2 linked regions of the Lepisosteus oculatus genome follow. The protein of the gene in region 1 purifies or fractionates together with the protein of each later gene. This does not show direct contact. Links are inferred from orthologs where the notes say so. Each region holds a gene or a part of one and is shown on either strand. Other genes may lie near its edges.

Region 1 (7,926 bases):
GCACAAACCTTCATCACCGCTCCGCTTTTTCTTCACTGTCATTTCGGAGCCCAGCTGCTCGTCATGTCCAATTAGCTTTACCCACAGAGCAGCTCATCTGCCACCAGGGTCTCCTCAGGGCTGCTCAAGGAGCGTCTGATGAACGCCCATCGCCTGCTGAACTGACACCCTCCTGGTGGAGAGAACTCCACACAGAGCGGAGGAGACGGGACACTCTTGCCATCTGGCACACGCACCACCAAAACACAGCATCATCCTTCCGCCACGACACCGAATCTCAACTATCCTTCATTCCACTGAACAAATCACAAACACCATTATCAGAAAGCTGGCTGCCTCGCTGCTTTTAACAGAACATCGCGTACAGGCCCGACTGAACCCGAGACATTTCCTCATGCGCCTGGCCATGCAGCACACTGAAATTAGCGCTTCGCTCGCCAGTCCTCACACTGGGCCGTTTCGGCCAGTTACTCACAAATGAGCTAGCCTTGCAGCCTGAGCTATCCCCCCTCCACTCTAACCTGCCCAGGGTCCGAACGTGCAGAGCGGGTCAAGACCGCGCTCCCCGTGACGAGCCTCACAGCTCGGATCCCCAGTCCGGACCCGCCGGAGGAATGAACACCAGGAACCTGTGGGAAGAAAGCCAGGTCTGCCTCAGCCTGAGCACAGACATCAGCACCTGTAAGGCTGCCTGCAGGGATCTTATTACTTTTCCTCTTATCCATACGGAGCTGCAGAATATACTGCTTCCACAGACGGGGGCTGGACACCCGGAGGACAGGTCCCAGCTCTGGTCTGTATCAGCTCAGCTTTGCACCATGACGGCCGACTTGTCACCACATTTCAGCGCCAAGATCGTCCTGGCGTCACGCAGCTCAGACAGGAGAGCTGCGCCGCCGAAACTTGGATTGATCTCTCAGCCCCACAAATCCCACCGCGAGGGGAGGGCAAGCGTGCAGCCCAAGTCAGAAAGGCAGAACTCACGCGACCCCGGTGCGCAGCGGCGGAGCCGCGGGAACAGCCCGGCCAGACCGCGAGCGGCGTCGCTTCTCACTCATGAGACGAGTTTGCGAATCATGAGCGAGGAGGAAACTAGAGGCCAGTGGAGGAAGGAAGCACTGAGGGACCACAACCCTGACTGTGCAGCTGCTGCTGCAGGCTGGAGGTTTCTGCACCGATCCCGAGCCGCAGCGCCACAGCCTCCTCGCCCTGCTGCCAGAGGGCTCCGAGAGAGACCCGAGCTCCGTGTGCCCCCTCTGCCCCCCAGCCCCCCTCTCACGCGCTCACCCCTGGCAGCTACAGTGGCTTTGCTGGCACCACCCCACGGACAACGACAGCTCTCTGCGAGACGCGCCCCCACGCCAGTGGGGCCTGCTCGGCGAGGTGCCACCCCACGGTGCGAGAGGGGACACCCCTCTTGCCACAGAGGCAAGGCCTCCGACGCGATGCGAGCCGTGCGACACTCACAGCCCCTGGCCCGAGACCCTCTCTGGTCCCGACCTCCGACCCCAGCAGGAAGTGGCTGTCAAGCCGATCGACCTGGCTAACTTCCTCTCCAGGACTCTGTTGCTTCATCGCTGTGCTTTCTGCCAGCCTGAGGTCAGATGATAAGACGGCTGTCTGCACGCTCATGTTCGAGCGAAGCCGTGCCCTGCGGACTCGTGCCGCAGGCCGGGACAGCGCGCCCCGGAGCAAGAAACCCAGCAGGCCGCACGCCGGGACCAGCAGCAGACCCAGCAGCTGAGGGTTCGAGCTGCCTGGGCACCACCTCCTCCGTCCCTGGCACCTACCCCACGGGGCATTTTGCCTACCTTGATAACTGAATGGCAGCAATCGATTACCCCCAAGGACAGGGAACAGCAGCGCCCGGAGCGCCCAGCCAGCTCCCACACTCAGAGCAGGTGCTCAAGAGGACCCCGGCCCTCCAGCGGGTCCTGGCTCTGCCCACGGCCTCCTCCCCAGCCCTACAGCCGGCGGGCTCTGCTGCAGCGAGCCACCTGACCCTTCGTCTTCCTCCCCAGCGAGAGCCTCGGCTCAAAAACACTGCCCGCCTGCTCGCCGGTCCAGCCGGCCTGCTCACGGGGTCACCGGACCCCCACAGGACCCAGCGGAGGTGTCCCCACAGCCTCGCCGGGACGCCCTGAGCTGGCCCCCGGCTGGGTGAGGGGTGAGGGGTGAGGGACGGGGTCAGAGCCCGCACAGGGCTGACTCGGGCACCCGTGACGCGCTGCTGACGGTACCCGGATCTCCGTCAGCCGCACGCCGGCTCCGGTCCAGCTGCCCCGCTCGGCGGGCAGTGAGAAGACAGCCGGCCGGCGAGCCCAGGCGGGCGGGGTACTCGCTCGGGGAGCCGTGGGACGTGTTCCGGGGGCCCGGCAGGTGCGGGGGTCACCCCGGGCAGGACGGGACCCCACTCGCACGGGCGACACACCTGCGGACGCGCCGCGTCCCCGCGGGTCCGACAAGCCCACACACGTGCCAGAGGCGGAAGAGCTGCGCGGCGGCCCCCCGATGGAAACGCACAGGTGTGTCTGAGCGCGGAAAACACGCCGTGAACTTTCCACGGGTGACGGCTTCCCCGCCCGGCGGGGGCACGGCCAGCTCTCCGACTCACGGGGATGTTCCACCAGCGGCGCGCAAACCCCATCCCCCCCCCGAAACACGTCCCCGGCTCCCCCCGCCAGCGAGGCGTCACCTACACCCGGTTTCTGTACTTTCAGAGCAGGTCGAGTTTAATTAAAGCGAACGGGGCTTACTTGTTCACTCCGGTGGTCAAAAGTAGCATTTCTAACCCCAGGGGCCTAACAGTGGCCTCCACAGTCCTCCGGTGTGCGAACAAACGAACGCGAAAGGGGCGGACAGACAATCGCAGCCCTGCTCGCCTCGGATTCACCTTCAGCACAGTATTATGATTCCTGAAATAAACACCTACCTGGGGCGGCCATCTTGAATTCTCTCAGACTTAAAGAACAGAGCAAGAATCTGCTTCAGCGGGGGTCCGCCCCCCGTGCCGCCCGCTCATTGGCTGGCTCCCCCGGGAGGGCGCTGTGATTGGGCGGCCGGGCCCGTCTGTTCCGGAGATCACCCGTCCGGGGGGCGGGCCCTGGAATTGCGACACTTGTGTGTGTTGCACTAGAGAAGTGGGACTGGACTCCGGGCCGAGCGGGAGAAGCGCTGGAGCAGGCGCAGCCCGTGCGTGGCTGAGGGATAGGGGGCACTCCTGGGGTCGGGAGGAGAAGGGATAGCTGCAGCGGGTCGGAGCCCCAGTCCCGGCGCGCACCCCCTTTAACCCCTTAGCCGCCAGACAGGCCTACCCCTCCCCCCAGCCACCTGCAGAGACACCGGCCCCACGCAGGGGGCGACGGCTTCAAGCCTGGCTGCTGCCGGGGAAGAAGAGGACGTGAGCTTCGAAACCAGCCTCCCAGGCACAGCCGCAATTAAGCAGTTACAGACTGCGTGACACTCTAGAGCCAGTGTCTTGTTCAAGTTGATAATATTAATAGTAATAATAATAATAATAATAGCGACAACAACATCCCCATCTCTGAACTGGCTTCATCACTCTGCTCTCTTTGCCACTGAGAGCTGGTGTGTGGGCAGAGTACTGGAGCATCATCCAGGTGGGGCTGCACACTGGCGGTGGTGGAGGGGATCCCCATTACCTGTAAAGCGCTTTGAGTGGAGTGTCCAGGGAAGATTAGATAAGATCACTTTATTAGCCATATACCGTTTCTTGCTTTAGGATTTTGTCTTTATCGCATATCCCGGCTTGCTCTCCATGAGACACACAGGCACACAGATGGGGAGAGAAGCTGGGGGTCAGAGCGCAGGGTCAGCCATTTATACAGCGCCCCTGGAGCAGCTGGAGTTAAGGGCCTCGCTCAGGGGCCCAGAGGAGTAGGGTTCCTCTGCCGGCCGTGGGAAATGAACCAGCAACCTTCCAGCCACGGCGCTAAGCACTTTATAAGTGTGAAGAATTATTACTAATTATTATTAAGAATGTTTTAAATGTGATGTAAATCAATATTGAATTGTGAAATGAAGTTGGAAAGGTCTTTAAAGCGAGAAATCAGCGGCGAGAGATGGAGCAGAGGGGGTGTCAGAGGATGGGAAGGGTCTGAACCAGACTAAAGTCGTTTCTCACAGGCCTCCACTCCTCTCCCTGTGCTCCCTGGACCCTGCGAAGGTCCGAGAGCCTGAGGTCACGCTCACGACAGCACTGTCCACGGCAGAGGGTGAGGGGGCTGCCAGTTCACGTCTCAGGCAGGGCACGCTGCGTCAGCGGGTAAATCAGAGTCTGTTCCCTGTTCACTTACCTGGCTAAATAAAGGGTTAAATCACAAAAAAACACTGGTGAAGGCAGACCCCCACCTCCCAGTTTCTGCAAATGATACAAATGCGATAAAGTCTCACTCAGATGATCTATTTTATTTTTACTGCATTGGCACCAACACACTTCTGTATAAAGCAATCGTTTAGTTTGCTGTAAAAACTGATCTCAGATCTCAGGGATTATGTCTGCTCTGACGCACTCTGTTTTCATACGGCCGTACCTGCAACGGAACCCATCTGTACCAGTCTGTGTGCAGCGCAGTGCTCGAGTGCTTTATTTTCATGGGTATGTGGCACATTTTTCATTATTCATCATTCCCAGCGGACACTCCTGGGCTGGGATCTCTCGCAGTGCTGTTCCCACACAGCCATCTGTGCTCAGAGCACGAAGTTCCTAAATGTGTTCTTAAAGGCTGAGACACACTCCAACTGCCTGGCACCGCAGTGGTGCTGTTAATCACCAGCCCTGCAGAGAAGCACTATTAACTCTTCCCAAAGCTCATCACTGCCTGCTCATGTTAAGGGCTGAAAAGCCGATCTGAGCCCCTCTCAGCAGAAAGCTGGAAAGTTAAAAAGGAGAGGAGCCATTCAGCCCAACTGGCCTGTTAGGTAGTGAGTAGTGATTGATCCCAGGATCTCATCCAGCCTTCTCTGGAAAGAAACAAGGGTTTTGGCTTCAGCGACATAACTGGGCAGCTGGTTCCACACAGCACCCTGAAATCTTAGAGAGGAAGCATTGGGAATAACCATCTGTGGCCACTCTGCACTGAGCATTATCACAAAAAAAATCCCAGGGCGTTTCTTGAAAAGAGTAGGGGTGTAACCCCGGCGTCCTGGGCAAATTTCCCCCTTTACTAATCATGGCTTCCTTATAATCCCCATTTATGAATTGGCTTCATCACTCTGCTCTCCTCCCCACTGAGAGCTTGTGTGTGGTGAGCGTTCTGGCGCACTATGGCTGCTGTCGCATCATCCAGGTGGGGCTGCACATTGGTGGTGGTGGAGGGGATCCCCATTACCTGTAAAGCACTTTGAGTGGGGTGTCCAGAATAGCACTATATAAGTGTAAGCAATTATTATTATTATTATTATTATTATTATTATTATTATTATTATTATTATTAAAAGAAGGCAATTGGAAAACAGAGGGTCACAAGAGTGCTTCTCAACCCCTCTCTTCTGTCTTTTTCTCCATCCGAACTCTTATTCAGTAAGCTCAAGCAGGGAGCTGCGTCAGCATGCAGAGGCTGCAGAAGAACAAGCCAAAGGTTTATTCCTGCTGGAAAGAGAAGACAGGCAACACAACGTGTCGGCTGCCGTGTCATTGAGTTCAGGGCCGTGGAGAGCCGGAGCCGACCCCAGCAAACAACGGACACAAGCCTGGGGACACACACTCACACCAGGGGCAATCCAGAAGCCAATTCATCTACCAGTGTGTTCTCGGAATGTGGAGCCCCCACAGTATACCCACACAAACTCGAGGAGAACATGCAGACTCCACAGCGACAGCAGCCCAGGTCTGGAATAGAGCCCAGGGCCCCAGCGCTGAGAGGCTGCAATGCTGACCACTGAGCCTCATGCAGCCCTGCAACTCACAACAGATTCTCTGAAACACGAGTGCAAAAACAGATTGAAAAGGTCTAATCAAGCAAGAACCCCAATTAAAGGATCAATTAGCCTGATTAAACAGAAGACTCCAGGACTGGGATCTGAGTGACACTGGGCTCTGTGCATAGAGCCTGCATGGCATAATCCATCTGATCGACAAGAGTACAATACAGAGTTAGAAAGCAATGGGGCATTTTATTTGGTTTAATTTCTAGACGCTGGCTATACCCGAGGAAGTGTTCATTAATTTGACGGCTTATGTGAAAGTTTATGCTTTTAATTAAAATTCAGTGCTAACATCAGATGTGTGAAAAACAGTTTCGAGGGAGAGCCAGCGCGCATAATTAAGCGATAACGAGTATCTTCTCACAACAGGCTGCTTACGAAATGTCTGCTTTTGCACATGTACAAATAAAATACGTCAGTGCCTAATTCTGCAAACGTTTGTCATTTTGTTTATATTTACGGTCTCGTATTGCCTTCGGACCCGGCTAGCCCGGCCTGTCGGCGGGGTCTCAGTCCGTCCCGGTGTCGCCCCTCGGTCCTTAACGTGGGACTTTAACGGGATAAATGGTTAACCTCATGCTTTCTATGAACGCCCTTTCTATCGTCAAGGTTTTCTGCACTCCATCTTGATCAACGAAAGACGTCGTTAAATAACAGCTTTAAAAAACGGCAAACGAGCACTAATTCAGATTCCCCACAGTCTCCCTCTCGAAAAAGACATAACACTTTAATTCTGAGGTCAGGACCAAAACACATAATTGGAAATCAGTAAAAACTATATAAACAATATGTTAAAGTTATTCATATTTTATCGAATATTAAATATCTTGGCATTTTTTTACATTTAAAAGAAAACGTAACACCGTGTACTTTATATTTGTTTTTGTACCGTGATTGTGCGGTACATTTTCCATGCTTGAAATGTATTTTGCTTTTAAATTAAACATTTTAAAGTTAACCGATTTTTCGCGCCTTTATGTAGTTGAAAAAATACCGGTCGATGACGTACTGCCCGCTCTAAAAATGCCAGTGCTGCATTATGGGAAATGCGCGCATTCCCGCTAAGCCGCGACCTTATATTTAAATCACTTTCTTTATCCAATCACTTTCACGAACCGTTTGATAGACGGCCTGCGTGCGCAATGAAAATAAAAAAGAACGCTGCCCTATCCGATGACGCGAGGTGGTAGGCGGGTCTTACGAGACGAGGACCGTTTAAAACAAGAATTCGCGCTCGCTCGTCATTAGGCGACCGTTAAGTTCTCCGGCGGTAGGAGGCGAGAAGGTGGGAGTTATTTTTGTGACTGTGTTCGACTTTTGGAAAGCAAATTATGGTAAGACATTATGATACATTATCGGTTTAAAGTACAGTTACCAGTCTCGCAATGCTGTACACTCTTTCGTGTCTTCTCGTTTGTGGTCTTTTTCCCTAAAAACAAAATACGGTTGCTGGCAGGCGACACAAGGGTGGCGGGCTGGTGGCTCCAGTTGAAACGGGCCGAGCGGTACCAAGCGGCCCAGCTGGGTTGGTATGAGCTGAAGTGCTGGTTCTGTGTGTGTGTGTGGGGGGGTGCATCTAATCTCCATGGCAACAGTAGGGGGCGCGCGGCGGAATGTCCGCCTGTGCAGTTTGAAAACTAACCGCCGCCACCCCCGCTGCTGCCGGGAGAGTCTGGAAAACTGCGCGAAACCGCTCGCAAATACTCCTAAAAAACCTCCCTGCTCCACCGTCGGGTCATCTTAGCGAGGCGGTGTATAGTAAACGTGCCGCGGTCTGTAATCCCAGGCCTGCGTGCCGTGTGGGCCGCGTGCGGGACGCGCGTCACTCGTCTTGGCGGGAGACTTCAGCCCCCACACGTGCAAGATTGCAGCTCCCGAAGTTCCGGCTCTCAAGGCCTTCGTGTTCAACCCCCCATGAAGATGTGTAGTCGGAGTGATTTAGTGCGCTTTGGCCGTTGGTCTGTGATCTGGTAGCTCGCA
Region 2 (7,395 bases), on another chromosome or scaffold:
TAAAAAAACTGGGATTTCTTTGAATGACTCCTTTCAGACAAACCTAATGGCCTTCTCGTTTTCCATCTTTCTTATGCTCAGTGGAATGTATATGATGCCATCATGCTATGAAATCTTAATTCTTCAGGAGAGTGTTATGTTAAACTCTTATAGATTAGTGAGTGTATAATAGTCGTTATGTTAGCTCTACAGTAACAATAGCACAGGCAGGTTTAGTTGCCATTTGAGGTTTTTGGAAGGTCGACTTTCTGCTGATCCATAATCCTTATGGTTTTTCCTGTGTTGTCCACATTTCGGATCAGAGTCTCCAGCCTTCTCTTGATTTTCTTCTGGTCCTCCAAGGCACAGCTGATGACTATGGTCTGGAACTTCTGATCCACAGGACCCAGGGGTGCCTCAGTGATACAGGCTGCATGCAGAGACATCAGGCGCTTTCTGGCACCGTCCAAGTCATCCAGAACTTTGGAGGCGATCTCATCAATCTCAGACGTCGCCTTCCTCAGAGCTTCCTGCTGCTGGGGGTTACGGATGGTTTCCACGGAAACCTCGACAGTCAGGGTTCGACCAAGCAGGCGGTCTGCGGTCAACGTCAGCTCCTCCCGTTCCCCTGAAAATGGGAAAAAGGGGTCTCTAGAATGAAGACACGGTGTGTGCAGCACAAACAAGATCCGAGGTACACAATGGACAGCTTCACTGATTGACTGATTCTAGGCTGAATTCACTAAAACTGTGCCCTCCTGATTTATTCATTCCTCTGTTGAAAACGGAACAACAAACATCATAAGAAATAATTGTTGATTGTATCTTGTTACAAATATCACTAAAAATGACTTTTCTTTACTTTTTTCAGCAGGAAACTGTCTATTCAGTGTGTGATATTCTTTGTTCCTATTTAAACAGGGGAATTATTAAATCTGGAAGCTACAAAGACAGTTCCTTTATCTCGCACCCTATTGCACTGCTGTCGGTTCAAATGAACATTTTTGATCATCGGATTTTACCAGACTGCAATGGATGGGTTTAACTAGGGTCTAAGAGGACCCCACAATCAAAGAGAATATATATATGTATCTACAGTACATGAAAAATCGATGTTCTTAAAAAAGTGGATCTGCTCTGATAGCACAGTGGATCTGTTGACATGTAGATCTGCCTGCAATATTTTAACAAATAGTAGATTTCTTTGAAAACTAATCACAGACTTCGGCTTGATGTTATATCTAAATTGGGGCATCTGAGAGACTGCTTGAGCAGGATGTCTTGTAGCCAAACGAGGTTAAAGAAACCCTGCTCCAGACTATGTATGCTGCACATGGAAAGGGCGCAGGAAATAAGATCCACGGTTTTCACAGACCTTGTCAGTCTTCACCTGTGTGACAGCTGTCCGTGACCTACAGTGTGACACTCCTCTCACTCACCATCACTGATGGTTCGCATCTCCTGGCTGTTCTTCACAGACTGAATCATTTCCAGCAAACTTTCCTTCTCCTGCTCCATCGCAGTCGCTGCCTCTCGTAAAGCTTCCACTCTGACAGAAGACAACAATGTTTAGTCTGTTTTACTTCATGAAAGAATCGACTGGCCTTAGTAACACATTTTACATTTAATGCTGAAAAACTACACCAATGGGTTTGCATTTTTTCCATTTGAGATCGGCCTATTTAAACAATGCTATTATATTACAGAACAAACTTAGGTTGTGAATATTGGATATGCCTGAGGAAACCAGATGGTTATATTCTTGTTGCAGTTAAGAATTTGTTTCAAATTTAAGTAAAGTAGGATCATTATGTACAAATATATCAACTGCCAAGTGGTGTAAAAATATTTATACGTAGTGTACAGCTAGATCCAGGACAATTATCTCTGCCTCAAAATGTTCTGGACAAAAATCAGAAAACACGTGAACTACATTTCCAAAGAAATACATCCTGCGGTTCTGTAATCTCCTTGTAAAATGACACTCATGTGAGGAATGTGAACCTACTGTACGGTACGTGTTGAACTGCAGCTGTTTGGAAGAAACGGACAGGTCTAGGATTTAAACAGCCAATAAGTTAAATGTTCCGAGCAGTAAAATCACAAGGCAGTGTTGACGAACAGCAGGTTTTCGTATGAAAGTGTGAAGTGGATTGCGCTGAAGCGCAGCAGCCCCGAGAATCCCCAAAAGGGGCTATTTTTAATTTCCCAAGACGGCACGTGGGAGTCGACCCCCCCTTGTCCACCTGTTTTTCATACAATACAAAAATTGAAATATTTGCAAACGAGCTTCAAAACAACAAAGTGTGCCGTTGTTTTCAGATACAATGTATCTCTGAAGACGAGACTAAGCGACAGGACAAGAATGCGGTCTTGGAAACAAGGTGCCAGAGCCCACGAACACAAGAAAGCGGCTCTAAAAAAAACTGAAATACAATCCAGTCAAGACGAGCGAACTTCGGCCGCTGTTCTTTTCATTTAAAACTTTTAAAAATGTTTAAAGTTTTCTAAAACCTCTCCCACCCCAAACATTACCTGAGCTCTAGCTGATCCAGGCTCTCAAGCAGTTGTCCCGATCGATCCGCCATGGACAAGGATCTGCTGAACTTGCTGTTCCTCTCACTTTCATTCATTTTGGCGAGGATCTTAGCTTGAGCCATGGTGCCTGGAAATGCCGATTCCCCGGGAGAGTCGCAGCTCCTTAACCCACTGCTCTCCGATCTTCCCTCTAGGGGCACCTTCTAGCAGTTTCGCTTGCAGCTCGCCGCTCGCAGGCGGCGCCCGTATGTCAACATTTCCAAACATGGGCCGGACCTTCCCCGCCGCCCTCTCCCGGGGAGCAGGCCGAGCGCTCGGCGCAGGGCGGGGGGCTCCAGCACAATCCACTGACCCCGACATCTCAGCCGGTCTCAACCCTGCACAGCCCCAGTTTTCCACGGGGTATCACAGACTGCGCCCTTTGTAGCCTCGGTACATTGTAGCCAAGTTGCCCGTGTGTCTTGTCGTGGATCATTTCAATCAAGCGCAGACGAACGACCATGACTCTCTATGAATTGGAAATATCCTATTTTGACCATTTATGGAACGGCCGCCTTTGAAAAACAGGCATACATATTAAAGCGGAACGACACTGACATTAACCTCCTGCGGTATCGGTGCTCACAGGCTAGCCCAGTATGATACTATAGCGCCCCCGTCAGACCACAGGCTAAATAGACAGGAGAAACCCGTTATATTTTTCATGACAATTACATGGTGATTTTAACATAACCAATTTCCTCATGTTACACTTTAATGTAATACATCACTCATGTAATGGCTTTAATGTTCACATTTTCTGCGCTTTGTCGTACCTCATTCTGTGCCGTTAAATCACACTACAGCATGCCAACATACAGTAGGGAGAAAAACTAGATTTTTTATATTTCTTCCAGCTTCACCTTCGTTTCTTTCAGATTTCATCGGGCACTGCACTCTACTAATATATGTACGCATATAGAGATGACGGCAGAAGCAGAACACGTCTCTGAACCTGTTTAACTTGCACTTGGTTCCTTTATGCACAAAGTGCACACAGGCTATTAATGAACCCGCAGTACTTTATCTGGAATTAGCATGCTTGCTTCCACACATTCCCAACCTGCATTATATAAAAAAAAACAGGACATACTGCTCACAGACCTAAATATATGAATTAAAAACAGCCTGTTCATGTTATAGCGCCAATACAACCTCAATGAAGAATGACAAGGATAAGATTTTATTCCCCCGTCATCTTCTGAATACGATCTGTCATTATTCATTTTACAGAAAAGATTTGGGGTTTTTTTTGCCTGCAGGTGTGTAAAGTATTAAAAATTAATGTATTAAGCAAACAGAGTTAAAGGCTACCTTTTGAAAAATGTCCTGTGCTGTTAAAAGTCCTACACCCAGAGGAAGAGTATTTGTATTTAATCACTGCTCCCACTCCTGAGAGGCCCAAACCGTACAGGTGCACCAGCACAGGTGGAGTCTGTCAGTTCAGACACTGCGGGTTGCAGTCCAAGCGATGTCTGACGATTGTGAGCCAGTTTCCCCAGACAGTGGCACACAACTGGTTCAGGGCTAAACTGGGTGAGTGTGCAGGCAGCTAAGGCATCCTCTGCCCACAGTGGAACAGCGGGCTGGCAGGGAGCTGTCAGGCATGATACCAGCCCTCCTGTAGGCATTTTCAGACTCCAAGTGTGAGGAGAGCGGAGCGTCTTCCCACTGTGCACTTCGAGGAAGTGTGCAGTCTTTACCACCACCACTGCACAGACATGAGGCGGGCTCTATGTGCTTTTATTTTTAAAAATCAAATTGATTCTTCTTAACTAAGAAAAACTAAAAATAGCGGGAAAACCATCTTCAGGAAATCGATCTTCATCTAAATTTACACATTTATACGCTTTATACCTGGAAAAAATAAAATATTTGCTCAATAATAAAACATGCTTAACCTTAATAATAGATTTGTATTTTTATTGAATAATGCTGACTTTAATTATTAACATTCCAACTTAAGAGTCATCAAATAATAATAAACACACATTGCTTTGCTTTTTTTTTTTAAACAGGAACCAGTATTACCAGTTTAAACATTATTCAGGTTCATGGGGGAAAAAAAAAGATCACTTAAAAGTCATCTTTGGATCAGAACTCCTGAAGGCTTCTAGTGATAGCTTCTTCGAGCTCTGCAGAGATAAGGGATAAAAATGAATTTAGCAATAGAGCATAATACACTTGAAAATCATAATGGACTCGGCAAACCTGTGAGCAACAACTGAAACAGAGCAAGTAAACTGAATGTGCATTTCTTTTTTTCAAATCAAAGTCAGATGTCAAGTGGCTAATATGGTCACTACTATACTGTACAACTTGGGAAAACAAAGCTTGCAATATCTATTGAAACTGATCTTTCATTTTACATTCCTAAGTACTGAAGCTCGTTTTGGCTGAGTTCAAGAGTCTCCCTGGATGAGACTCCACGCTTTCTACAGCTGGGTGGGCTGCAGCAATCTGCTTGCTACAACAGTGTCTGCACTGAGAATGTAAATCCACCAGTCAGAACAGATCAGGAACCACCTTACTACCATATTCTGCCACAAATACAGAAATGCTAGTATGCTGACACACTGCAGCTTGGCTTCACCCTGTTCTGATGGATTCTAATCAGAGATTCCGATTTTCAAGCAAAAATCATGTCCAAATCCAGGTGTAATTTATGTTTTTTTAAAATAATAGAATGAATATAGAATAAAACAAACATAAAACAATTAACATTTATACATTGTGTTTTACTTATTTATTTTAGAACAAAATACAAAAACAATGCTTTAATAGAAAGAAATCGTTTGGTCTCAATGTTCTTGCTTTTGTGACCATTACACAGAGTACAGGGGAAAACAACCATTTTAACCTCAAAACTGAAGACAGGAAAATCCCTTAACTCAAATAAACTCATATCAACAAACAGGTGGAAAAAAAAGCAAAAGCCTAAAATCTATTACTCACTGTAAACAAAAAAAGCATTACCGACATGATGATGAAAATTATTTTTTAAAGTCAGCTGAGTGTCAGGTTTGTAATGGTCTCAGGCAGGTGTCTGATTCTGGTCCTGGTGTCTCTTTCAGGTTTGTTAAAAAGTGTGTGTTAACCCCCCTAGTGGTTCTAGTCTTGTATGTTTTACACCTAAAATGCAGTTAGATCTTCATGGTGTGACACCGCAGGGGTAGGGGCCACCACTTGAGCTTGGACTGGTGTGTCCCATGCTCCAGACACGCCTCTTTGAGCTTGCTGGGGAACCTCTTCCACACGTATACACGCACTGTCCTCCGAGAGCGCTGCTCACACTGGCCGACAGACTCCACCACAACCACGGCCTGACGTCACCGAGCCCCTCGTTCACAGTGACCCTGGTGACACACGAGCTTGGGGCCTACAGCTCGCTTGCTCTTCAACCAGGCTGGGTCTCGCACACAGAGCCTGCAGCGCTCAGAACTCCGTCTCTCCCACCCCAAGTCTCTTCAGGGCACCGAGAGCCTGCTGTCCAGACAGCCCCTACTCTCTCCCTAGTACCCTGTATCACACCCAGCCCTCCAGCACTCACTACCTCGAACACACTTACACAGCGGACACCCCAACAGCTCTGCGCCCTGCAAGAGCAGCCTGCTGTCCCTTTAACTGTCACAGGGATCCCTAACTTTACAAAGCCTGCTGGATGGCAGAGATGATACAGACAAGAGCTAATTTTAGCCCTGCTCTGCATTCCAAGTATCTATACATTCAGTGTAAGGATGGCTTTCAAGTCTGATCCAAATGCACAGCTGGGGGACAAAGAAACAGGTGGAAAATCAAATTAAATTGGGTAAACCCCCCAAATAAGAATATCTCATATTAATCTGCCTCTTCGGTGCAAAGGTGACAATGGCAGATCATTCTCCTCAGCACACACACAGAACCCTGTTGTTTCAGTCAACCACATGCAAGAGGACATTGTTTCTGGTGTCTATTTCTCAGTTCTGTACTAGAGGTTTGCTGTGGGAACACTCAGTTAAAAACAGCACATCATCACTGGAACCCACTTTCAATACAAGCATTTACGGACTCATAATGCTAGTTTGTACTTATTTAAGTATATAATTAACAACAATAAAACGGGTAAACTGTATAGCAAAAACAAATGCTGTCTGCATTTTTAGTTTGTATCAGGGTTGGCCAACTCTGTTCCAGAAAAGTCACAGCCCTGGAGCTATTGATCAATTTAGGAAATTGACTTGCAAATTTATCTCTACTCTTAGAAGACTCTCACATTTTCATTCTGAAGTCTTAAAAACTATTAAACAACTCCTTGTTTTGATGTTAAATCAATTCTTGTCTTTGTTAATAATTGATCTAAGAATGACCTAGCCTAGAGAAATCTTCTTGTTGGGATCTGGAGCGGCCACAGCAGTCACGGTGTCTAAGCAGAGCAGCTGTTCAGGCCAGTGGTGCAGATGTCCTCCGCCCTGTGATTTGAGCACGCTGTGACCCAGATAGCCCAAGCAGCAGGACACCATTTGTGAGGGCTGCTGGGATTGCTTGGGCTGTCAGTGTGAAAGCTGCTTCTGGGACCTGCTGGCACTGGTGAGCTTGCCGTGATGTCGATGAGAGCCATGCCGCTCAACACCCCTCTAACTGTAGTGCTGGCTAAATCACCACATATAAAATAGGAAACAAATTCTATTACAATTTACAAAAACAACTAAAGCTATTTCTTTGTCCAGGAATGTCCAATCATTGGTCTATGACTAACAAACACTAACAGGTAAGGGTCAGACTAAAACATTAGTTATGATCACAGAAAATGTAGAAGAATCAAAGACTAAAATTATCACTTAGAAACCCCTACTTTTGTCT

What was found. Proteins that work in one complex are often made in the same cells at the same time.
Region 2: the proteins of araf (region 1) and bag2 purify together in Homo sapiens (affinity purification with mass spectrometry; 3 studies listed by BioGRID and IntAct, with this or other methods). This does not show direct contact. The link is inferred for Lepisosteus oculatus from reciprocal best matches to the Homo sapiens genes ARAF and BAG2.

What each region holds. Positions count from the first base shown.
Region 1 is NC_090697.1:77,646,292-77,654,217, reverse strand, and holds the start of araf (serine/threonine-protein kinase A-Raf), read right to left. Parts: upstream 3,012-7,926; 5' UTR 2,933-3,011; intron 2,921-2,932; exon of another isoform or gene 2,757-2,920; intron 2,722-2,756; exon of another isoform or gene 522-2,721; intron 508-521; exon of another isoform or gene 1-507. Other genes in the region: tubulin alpha chain, testis-specific, read left to right, coding at 7,278-7,280. UniProt on the Homo sapiens protein: Involved in the transduction of mitogenic signals from the cell membrane to the nucleus. May also regulate the TOR signaling cascade. Phosphorylates PFKFB2.
Region 2 is NC_090712.1:19,975,335-19,982,729, reverse strand, and holds the start of bag2 (BAG family molecular chaperone regulator 2), read right to left. Parts: upstream 3,096-7,395; 5' UTR 2,640-3,095; coding exon 2,515-2,639; intron 1,529-2,514; coding exon 1,419-1,528; intron 608-1,418; coding exon 213-607; 3' UTR 1-212. Other genes in the region: E3 SUMO-protein ligase ZNF451, read right to left, coding at 4,651-4,691. UniProt on the Homo sapiens protein: Co-chaperone for HSP70 and HSC70 chaperone proteins. Acts as a nucleotide-exchange factor (NEF) promoting the release of ADP from the HSP70 and HSC70 proteins thereby triggering client/substrate protein release.